Drosophila melanogaster: one gene and its partners. The protein of the gene in region 1 interacts with the protein of each later gene in a pairwise test. Each region holds a gene or a part of one and is shown on either strand. Other genes may lie near its edges. The genes, in order: CG4328, lbl and grh.

Region 1 (3,756 bases):
TATGCGATCTAAAGGCCCCTCACAGGCGATGACATCGGGATTTCGGGATGGATGGAGGAATAGATGGATGGATGCAGGGATGGAGGCGGTGGTGCCTCCAAAACCGCCGCCCTTGAGTTTCCATGTCTAGGCTCTGCGTAGACAAAGTGCCAAAAGTTTGGAAGCCTTTGCGAGATGAAGCTGAAGGGAGGAGAGAGAAATGTATATGAAAATTTCAAAATCACAACATCACAACAGAACTGCAACAATTACTCATCATCATCAGCTACAAATATAGATTTCTTAGAATATTGTTCAATAAATATTATTTATAAGATTTAACATAATACACATAGATATCGTTTAAGGTGCCAACTAAAAATATATAAGGTTAACAGTTAGTAAATGAACAAATTAAACAAAATAACAATTATTAATAATTACAAAATAAATTATTATGAATTACACAATACAGTTTAAATGATCTTACAATTTTTTATAAAAATGTATTTTTAAATCTTGCATTACTTAGCAATTGTTTTTGGCACTTAGTTAAACAAATGCCAACATTTATTGTCACTCCTTTATTAAGAAATTACATGTTTCCTACCTGATATAAAAGAAGCACAACAAAAGAAGTACCCATCGCAAAATCCCCCAGGATCAAGCATTTAATGTAGCTCCATTGTCCTTTAAATTCCCTGCACATCCCCGTGCTCCGTGTACTGATTATGAATCGCAAAGATTACCGCACATAACTATTATCATCGTCGGAGTTGGGAAAAGTGGGCTGGGAAAGCGAAAGATGGCTGGTTGGTTGCCAGTTAAATGGTTCGCCCGCACACTAATTGTGAGTAACACGTTCGCGTTTACGAAACTTTTCTGGGAATTTTCGTCGGAAAAGAGGCCAAGAGCCAGGAGTTTCGACCAGACAAGTCCTCATCTCGGCAACTGGGTACTGGGAACTCTGAACTGGAAGCTAGACATACAGTCAGCCGGCAAAGTGCTTAGACATTAAAGTTTTTGGCGCCCCGGTTTAATAGACCAGAAAATTCATTTTGGCCAGGTTTAAAGGGCCACCGGCCACCCTCATTAACAGCTAGCTCTTTGAGCAAAATTCTCCTGGACACTGGGCCGCAAACCTTAATTAAAGCAGCGGGACTGGTCTTTAAGCTTAGTCCTTTTTATAGCGTTCGAAAATCAATAAATTTAAAATGTACAAGCCACTGCGGGAAAAGGGAATAAAATCCTAGCCAGCTCACAAACACACACACACACGGTAAAAATAAAAATAAGAAAAGAAGGACAACAAAATTCCAGCCATTGAGGGAGAGTCCTGTTTTTTTTTGGGGGGGCGGGGATGTTGTTGCTGAGGCGACAAAGCAAGCAAGAAATCGCCGAGCCAAACATCCTTTTGTCAATACAAAATACGTACGTACAACAAAACAAATAAATGTGCCCACGAGCAAAGACAAAGACAAAAGTCAAAAGTGCAAAATGAAAAATCAAACAACAACAACAACAACAAAACCAGCAAAACACAAAAAGCCAAAACAACTCAGAAGCGCCACCCGGATTCAAAATCGGCATTAAAACGCATGAGATGAGATGAGATGGTATGATATGGGGGTTCCGATCGACGCATGCGCCAAAAGCTGGCGAATCTCACGGAAGCTGGGGAAAGGCAAATGGCTGGCTCTCAATGGCTTGCACGGGGATGGAGCCAAAAAGGATATGGGAGCACAGGATGTGCCATAAAATGGCGCACACGCACACACACACAAAGGCAAACAGTGGGCACTTCTCCTTCGGGTTGGAGAGAATTTCCTATCTCGGCAGCAGATGCTTGTGCATTTGGCCAAAGAAGAGCAAATGATTTTTAACAAATTTCATTAACATCAGAGGTCCGTAATCATTCAAGCATCGCGTTTCGTAACAGGGCCAGGTCAGAAGTCCGATACTGGCCGCCCCAAAACAACAGTTGCCAACTGCATTTCGAGTCCCCAAATGTGTCCTTAGGCGTCCTGAAAGCTGTGCTCACAAAATGTGCAAAGATACGTAGGAAAATCGCGTGAAAAGCCCTGAGAAAATTTCATAAATGTCTGTGAACGTGATTATATAGTTTTTCTATTCCCGAACTGAACGATTCCAAAATGATCGACGAACACCATCCCATGCAGATCGGAATGTGTAAGTATGGGCAAACCCGAGGAATATGAAGTCTGAATCTATTCCAATAACCGACGGCATTACAAGCCCAACATTCCCAATCCCGTCGGCATTTTTCTATCAGTTTATTAATTATGTTAAAAAGTGCTCATTAATTTATGGTATGTAAATAGCTTCAAGTAGAAGAGTGCATATATTTCATTCACTTTTTCTCTAGTTTAATCATAGTTTAAATATTAGCATCAAGTGATTAGCTCAAATCAAATACCTTTAGATAAGTGAATTAGGAATAAGCCACCATGTATCATGTGTTATATCGGTAATTGTGATATCACAATTGCACACTTTTCAAAGGTATAAAGTGGATTTTCGTTTTGGCCATTAGTGATTTTGATTTATAACAGTCAAAGAGATCAGCACATTTTATACAAATTTTATTCAGTTGAATTGGTTTTAAAAATACTAACTTAATAGCAGCATAAATAAGTTTTGCACATGAAATTATTAGAAACCAAAGATGAATTATTTGTGAAAATTTGCCATTTTCTTGCTAAATTCTACTTCGCACAAAGCAAATCCCAAGTTTAAACATTGCATCTCAACACTTTTGCTTCAATTTGCCTTCAGTGAATGCTATTTAGCACCCAGAGTGGCAAGTATGCATATGACCGACTGCACACACGTCCACTCGAATCCGACTGGCTGAAAGCCAATGAAAATTACAACATATTTTCCAGAGCAAAGCAAATTTTGACTTCTGTCAGAGATTAGGACAAAACAAAGCATTTGCGCTGCGATTGCTGGCACAACAAAACGGCAATGGCACCATAACTCTATTGTCTACTCAAATCCGATTAAATAAAGCGCTGTCAGTTGCTGCCGAGCGAACTGCTGGCAACTGACAGCGGATTCGGAGGCAGCACACAGCATCCTGGCAGCGCAGCCGACATCCTGGCAAGCATTTCCAAGGGTTTCCGCTTACCCACTCACTGTCGTCGACTGCCAACATATGCCGCCAGCAGCCAGCCGCCAGCCGCCGTAACCGAAATCCTGATCCCCTCCAGCCTCATCCTCATGCTTATTTGCTAAGCCCGAGCATATTTTCCGTAAGGGTGGAAATCCGCCAGCTAAATGCCCTCGGTTAGCCCCCGGATTCATTGAAATTCGTTTATAATCTACATAGTTATGAGCACTGCAAGGGGTGGCATTTGCAACCCGTCCCTCGATTTCCACTGCACATTAGAATCTAATTAGAGCGTGGGCAAGTGGAAGTGCTATCAATGTCGGCTTTACACTTGTCGTCCCAAAATCCTCGAGCTCTATTCTCCGACATGTCCGGCAAACATGTTGGTATATTTTCAAATGTCAAATGGCAATGACAGAGCACTAAAAGTGTAACAGGTGTGGTTGTTGAGCGGATTATTCCGCTGCACATCTTAGGAAATAGCTTCCCGCAGTTCCAAGTGTCACAAGTTAATGGGTATCGGGAATGGGGAGATCAGGACCTTGGAAATTGGGTTAAACACTGCTGGAGACTTCAGTTGCTATGAATAAGTAGCATATTGAAAAGTTTATAAAGCCAAAATACACCCAACGAACATAGCACAC
Region 2 (3,756 bases), on another chromosome or scaffold:
CGGTTGAATGGGAATGGATTTGAGTGCCGGCTCGAGTGGTTCGCTTCCTAGGGGCGATGGCTAATTATGATTGACAGGGCGTGTCTCGTCTATTGAGGCGCCCAATTAAGAGTCGTTTTATAATTGATTTTGAATATGAAGGCAATAGCGATAGCGAATGTTCCCAAGCCCCGTCAATTTCTCACTTCCAAGGCAAGCGAAAGGAGAGAATGCCCTGGCTCGTCAACTTTAGTCAGTCAAGTGTAGGCATTAATCAAACATCGCGGCCATCTTGCCACCAAAATAGGGGGCAGTCGAAGGGATTGGAGAAGGGCCCTTATGCAAATTCAGCGTCATAAATTGCGATGTAGGGTTCGGGTAAAATACATCTAAACAACACCCTTTCAAGAGACTGAATAAACTGGATTTTATATTAACATACTGTGCTACTCATTTTGTCAGCTGGGTACCTGTGTACTTTTGCTGGATCAAGTTATTATTTTGTAATTTTATACGTTAAACATTAAAAGCTAATTTGCCCATACTATGTAGTGTAAAAGTCCAATTTGTTGTAAGCCCTTGATGAGCCCAATAATCATTGGTAATTGATGCTCCGCGCTTTAATAAACAGATACAAACACAAATTTGTTGAAATTGCCACTTCCCCTGATTTCTTTTCCCATCTCGAAATAATCAATTATACTCGTTTTCAAAGGGCAGTGTAGAACCCATTATCGATTACGGCTCGCCAGTTACATCATTTCACTTAGCCGACTCTTCAGTCACATTCCCACCGGCAAAGGGCGCAATGCAGTTAAATAGACATTTGCATGCAAAATTCAAGGAAAAGCGAGAAATAAAAAAGAAAACCAGGACAAACAGCGGAGCGAAATTGAATAAAAAACTGACACTGACAAACAAACGAAGCGAGGCGCATACAGGGCGCATACGTGATACAACGAGCGGACCAAAGTTGCAATCAATTTGGAAATGCATTGAGTTGAGCTGTGGAGTGGGAAGCGAGGGAAGTGGCAAGACAAACGAATGTGTGCCAGCAAAATGCACTTAAACAAATGGAAATATAAATGGGAAAATATAAAATAATATAATCATAAATTGTGTGTAGAGAAACTAACTAACTAACAAGATGCAGCTAGTTATTAGATCTAACAACGATCTCAAGTTAACAAGTAATAAATGTGAAGAGCAAAGTAACTGTCATGTTGTGCCATTTATAGGTTATTACTTTTGAGGTGCAGAATTCGTTCGCTTTTTAATTTATGTTGAGGAAGTTTGAGGGAGAAAGACATTTTTACATTACTATAATATTTTTCATAGGCACATCTATTTATGACAAATAAACCTCTTTCAAAAAGACGTTCTTGAACGAAGGATTGTCAGTTCGGGGAACTGTTTTTCCCAGTGCATCAGAGGTCTCGAAACACGGATTCGAAGAGGCTTGTTTTTCCAGTGGAAAATAGATGAGGAGTCGAAGCCAACGGTACAACGAGACATCATTATTGATGACAATTGAGTGGGCCAAAAGAGAGCTGCGAAAAAGCGGGTGAGCCAACAATTACGATAATTAACGCAGTCAGTCGCCTGGAAAGCGACGGGAAAGAGAGGGAAATAGTGCCGCCCCAGAGAGAGAGCGAGAATGAGAGAGAGAGAGAGAGGGAGGAAAGAGAGCGCATGTCAAATTGTACAAATTAATGACGTTCGCACGTTGACAGCGACTTTTGGTCGGGTGAGGGGGTCTGTATGGCCCTCGACCAACTGCTATTGGTCCTCTGGTTAGCTCTCCCTCTCTCCATCTCTCTCTTTTCTGCTGGCACGCCCCCTTGGCGAGAGCGAGGCGGCGTTTCCAATTAGACAAGCTGCGCAGCTGCGCGAGTCCGTGACGTCATGGGTGCCAACCAGTTTGGAGGCCCCAAAAAGCAGTTGAGAGAGCTTGGCCAAGAAAGAGAGACAGAGAGCCGAGCAGCATTAGCATCGCATTCTGGCCACGAGCCATTTTCGTTGTTGGTGTTTGTGTTGCACGTTGTGCCGACGTTTTTCGTGTGACAGCCGCGCGTTTTGCCGACGCGTTTTTAATCGCCCGTAGAAAAGAGTTTGGAGCTAAGCCGTAAGGATACAGCCAGGATGTGCTGAGTGGCCAAAGGAAAATACACCTAGAGATGCCGCAAAGAACTCCCAGTCCCGCTAACTCTGATGTTTCGGTGGGTTCGCCCAGTCCACCGCCTCTGAGATCGTTGAATATGAAACGATTGCGGCTTTTGAGGAGTCCTATTAGCCTGGAACATGACCGCCAAAAGTCATCACCCGTCAGGGTCAAGAGCTTTTCCATTGCCGATATCCTGGGGCGAGGGCATGAAGAGGATCGTGTGGAGAAGAAGCCGGAGAGAATTGCCATTCCCAATGCTTTACCAGGAGTACCTGCTCCATTGGCTCTGATCAACGAAAGATTGCAAATACCCTTGGTGCCGAATTGCCCTCCGCCGGCTGCACTACATACATTTTTATCGCCCGCTTTGCTCCACAGCTATGAGCAGCGACTGGCCTGGGACTACCAGCGCCAGCTCCAGGAGCACTTCCAGGCACAGGCGCAACTCCTCCGGCAGATGACCCTGAATCCCGCGATCATTGCCTCCGAGGACGGCAGTTCAGAGCGTTCCCAGCGATCAAGCAGCAGCAATGGCAGCACCGAATGCTGCAGTCCCACCCAGGCGGAAAAAGTGGAAAAACGTTCCCAAGAGGACAGAATGGAGGTTCCTAAGAAGTCGCCCGAGGAACAACCAAAGGGGGCCAGCAAATCAAGTGGAGACACTCCCTTGGATGCCCTCTTCCAGCTGTCCACCAAAAACTTTGACGAAGAGCAGGGTGAGTAGTTTTCAAGAGAAAATATATTCCTCTAAATCCAAACAGAAGAAGACTTTGCTTTTAAACTGCGGAACCCAGTGGACAACCAAAAATCATATTCTTCATATTTACTATATGTAAAAAAGTACAAACAAAATTATAGTGCAGAGATAATAGATATTTCATCAGCTTTTTCTCAAGTTTTATCAACACCCCTGAGTATATGAGCTTTTTGTTATATATGATTGGAATATCTTCAACATAAAAATATCCACAAACTGTAGAATTACTTACTCCGCGTTCACCTCTGTGTGCACAACCGCAATCAAATTACATTTTAATATAAACTGATTTCCCAACGAGACCCATCATAACCATTAGCCTGGCCAGCGATTGATCAATTGTTGTCATTACGTCTTGATGAGATTCTGCTTAAGGCGTAAAAACAGTAGTGAGGTCAGCCTGCTCGTCCGAGGTGGCTAAATCAATTTCAGGCCAGCCGGCTGGCAGCTCGCTCGGCATCGCCTTTGATGGCAATTGCCTTTCCCAGACCCAGACCCAGTCCCAGTCCCATACCCATACCCAGATCCACTCGAAGGCCCCAGCCCGGTCATATGATGATGCTCTAGCTGCGGCGAGCTGCTGCTCCAACTCGAACTCAGACTCCAGCTGATGGCTGATGTCTGATGGCTTTGGCGCATGCGTATCGTTCGGCATAATTTGCTTAGCGGCGTTGATTTCTCGTTAAGTCGCAGACGCAAACCGATTTATCCCACACTCGGAATAAAAACAGAAACTGCCGGGAGTCACTGGGAAAACTATTCCTCATAATATCTTCGTTTGGAAAACACATCACCTTGATACAAATTATTGTACAAACAACTAACTAAGAGTATTTAAAAATATCCTGAACGGAAC
Region 3 (3,756 bases), on another chromosome or scaffold:
ACATTAATTTTAGGCAATCAGGTTAGACAAAAATGTCCTGGACAAAGGGACGCGCGGAGGGATGGAATGTTTGTTTGTGAATGCTTCTCTTCGGTTTCTTACTTTTGCATAACGGACAGATATAAGACTTTTTGAAGAAAAAAACCAAATATATAAGTACATTTAATGCGATTGTTGTTTGTTTTTAGTTATATACACCGCCACACTCGCACACAAAACACACACACCGATACATGCATACATATATATACTACTTAGCGGTATATGTACAAAAACGTAATCAAGCATTAGTGAAATGTTTCGACCAGTTAAAAACCACAAATTAAATTTATTACATGAAAATCAACTAATGTGTAAACGCAAAAACGGCAAAATCAATAAATAAAAAATGGATTAAACTAAGCCTAAATTTAGTTTTAAACATTTAATATATTGCAACAATAAACCGAAATGAAAATAAAACTCAAATTCAAACTTGAGATGCAAGTGTTTGTAATTGGGCTCCTGGAACTCAACATATTACATTAAATATTTTTAATTTTATCTTTATTTATTGTTACTTATCATCATGAATGTACTTTTTAAATATTTACTGTAAAATTGCATTTTACATAAATATTTTACATTGCGTAGAATGTCTAGTGCTTCAGTGAAAACTAGCGCCCGCTGCTTTACGTTCTTAACCACAGTTCCACGCGTGCGCAGCGCCAAAAGACAAACAACGTGAATTGGTGAGTGCGGGATCCAAGTGGGGGGAGCTCGGAGGAAAGGAAGCTGGGGGGAGTCACCCTTTACCATGGCGGAAAGCACACAAGCACCGTCCGTCGGTTCGTCCGCCGATCCACACGACACAGCGCTGATTGCCGCGCCGCCTGGCGAGGTGAGGTTGTAGGAGCCCGACTGAGGTTAACCGAAAGCCAGGCCGAGAGAACGGAACAGAGAGCGGCGGAGGCTGCGGCGGCACGGCAGCTACTTGGCGTTTTCGATTGTGGTACATGCACAACTATTTTACGTATGTATGCCACACGGAGAAAAAAATCCTTCATTTCACAGTGCTAACAATTCGAGTTGATTTATTTGATTTTATGTTAAATATATGCAATATTCGTAAATTTTTTTAATATTTAATCATACAAAGTGCTTTAGTGATTTAGCTTGTGTATAGGAAACCTATCAACAGTATTTTATATAAGAATTAAGAGTTGAACTATATTAATTATCTGAACTGCTTAACCGCGGAATAGTTTTCAGAAAGTGCATCTTTGTATCCAGTAATTTTTTGCAGGGACTTCTCTTGGCATGCGGTGATCTCGGTCTTTCTCTCCACCTCTCTCCCGCTGTTGTGTGTGTTTGTTTCTCTACCTGATGCCCGATTGCACTACCACTTTCACGCGGTTTACAAGCCGAATGACAACAACAAAAACAGAACAACAAGGCGGCGAGTTCGAAAGCGAAGTAGAGTGAACCGAGCAGCGAATTCGAATTTTCGACGATGAATGCAATGCCGCAGCACAGAAATAAACGCAAAGTCCGGGAGATACGAAATGCAGGAGCGGTTTGCCCGTGTCGAGGGTGGCTGTGGCTCTCTTTCTTGCCCTCTCTCTTTCTCTCTCTTTTGATCTGCCATCTCCCTTCGCCGCAAGTGCATGCTGAAGTGGAAGGTTCGTTGCCTAAGTCTTTTGTACCTGCCTGCGTTTCGGCCTCTGCAGGTGCACCCACACACACACACACAGATGGAAGCACTGGGCTACCTGTGTTTTAGATCGCACTTGTATGGGTGTTTGGGAGTGTAGAGACAACATCATCGATTCGAATGAATTTGAGTGGCGCTGCGCTGCCGGCGTCGCTGCCGCGTTCGCTCAATATCAGTTACGAAAGAGATGAAACCATAAAAAGCAATAATAATCGAGCGCTCTCTAACCAGCGCCGCGAACACAGACATCACCTTGCCACCAATACAACTGCACGACGACGTCGGCAGAGGTGGCAGCAGCGGCGGCAGCAGCACATTCAACAGTTGAACAATCTCCAATTGACTCTTTGGGCATTATAGCCAAGAGCCGAGATCCAGCGACAGCGACGACAAGTTTTCCGCGCACACGGAAAGTCAGCAAGTTAATACACCGAAAATATATAGTTTCAAATCCGACTAATCGTTTCAAATCGAAATTACCTGTGAGTGCGCGTGTGTGTCGCGATATTTGCGAAAAATCCAAAAGTTTCTACGCCAAACAAACAGCAAAAAGTCGCGCTTAAACTTTTTCGAAATTAAATAAAACACACACACGAATTTCAGCCACGAAGAGGAAGAGAAGGCTGAAAAAGCGAAAAAAAACCTCGTGTGTGTGTGCGTGTGTGTTGAGTGCGAGAGTATCTGTGTGTGTGTACGTGTGCATGTCTCTCGGAGAGCGTGAGCTTAAAGTGTGCCTGTGTGTGTGCGCTTGCGAGCTGGAATGAGACGCCATCAAAGCTGAGCAGCGAATAATAAAATGCAAAATAAAAATAGTGATTAATAACAGCAGCCAGAACCAGCAGCAATAACAAATGCTAGTGCGGAAAGCGCGTAAAAAATAGTGAAAATACTCATAGAAAAATAGAAAAAACAACAACAAATTGGCTTGAAAACGCAAATGCCAGGCGCAACGCCCCCGAACCGACCCGCCCCCTCAACTTTTGCGCCCTCCAGTAGCAATAGCAGCAATATGAGCAGCAGCAACATCAAATGTTAGGCCAAAATGCACAAACCGCCAGCAACAAAGGCAGCACCAAGCGAACGAAACAACAACAGCTCCACATACCACAAAGAGTGGCACATTAGAAGCGGCCAAAAGCAGCCAGCCGAGAGCATTGTGTAAGCCAAAGGCCCAGAGAGCCAGGCTAAAAGCCCCCAGACGCACAACAACAACAACAACAACTAAAACAGCACAAAGAGTGGCGAAAGGTGCACCCACCAGCAAAACAGCAACAACGGAGCAACCAACAACAGCAGCAGCAGCAGCAGCAGCCACATTTCAGTTACAGCTCCAGACTCCCAGGTTGCAGACTCCCAAAGCAAACAGACTCCAGTCCACGATCCAGCTCCAGTTCCACCGATCCGATCCACTGCTCCAGCGTGCTCGAGTGCCATAGATCCTCACCAAGTGCCAAAATCCGCATCCTGATCCCAAGAGCTCAAGGCACCCCGGCCCAAAAGTGAGTAGTACTTAGCCTACCAAGAAGTAATTATAAACGCATCAGGCTATGTAGCCCTGGTCGGTTCATGGAGGGATTACACCGTCAGAAATATAGCACCCTATTGACCATTTGGTTTTCGGCTTATAGATCCCTTTTTTCGGGAGATTCCATCACAATAGCTGGTATTCCCAATAAAGAGAGCAATAAAAGCGGGCATTTTTTGGGCACTACTAGGGTGTAGAAACTTTTCAAAAATAAATATTTTTCAAAACTTGATATTTTTAAAAAACATATGGTATTACCAAACTATAAGATATATTTTAGCTAGATTTATACATAGTACGTCAAGTTGATTCGATGGAGTTAATAGAAAAATGGTAATTGGATATTATTTCGATATTATTTGACAACGACAATCTCATAGAAATATTTTTAAACAATTTTGCTGGAGATGTAGGCATAAAATCCATTTAGTTCGTGCGGTTTTAAATTAAAATGCATTCTGCATGTTTTTTTAATAAGTTTTATTATATCTATACGGCTAGGCATTTTAAATGATTTCAAATGTATTGAAACTAAACG

What was found.
Region 2: the proteins of CG4328 (region 1) and lbl interact in a two-hybrid assay, tested with the Drosophila melanogaster proteins (one large-scale study listed by BioGRID).
Region 3: the proteins of CG4328 (region 1) and grh interact in a two-hybrid assay, tested with the Drosophila melanogaster proteins (one large-scale study listed by BioGRID).

What each region holds. Positions count from the first base shown.
Region 1 is NT_037436.4:12,294,247-12,298,002, reverse strand, and holds the start of CG4328 (uncharacterized protein), read left to right. Parts: upstream 1-1,879; 5' UTR 1,880-2,132; coding exon 2,133-2,169; intron 2,170-3,756.
Region 2 is NT_033777.3:21,432,368-21,436,123, reverse strand, and holds the start of lbl (ladybird late), read left to right. Parts: upstream 1-1,990; 5' UTR 1,991-2,156; coding exon 2,157-2,859; intron 2,860-3,756.
Region 3 is NT_033778.4:17,800,200-17,803,955, forward strand, and holds the start of grh (grainy head), read left to right. Parts: upstream 1-2,046; 5' UTR 2,047-3,192; intron 3,193-3,756. UniProt on the Drosophila melanogaster protein: Transcription factor that binds a CNS-specific regulatory element of the Dopa decarboxylase (Ddc) gene. Also interacts with sequences adjacent to other transcription units, including Ultrabithorax (Ubx) and engrailed (en).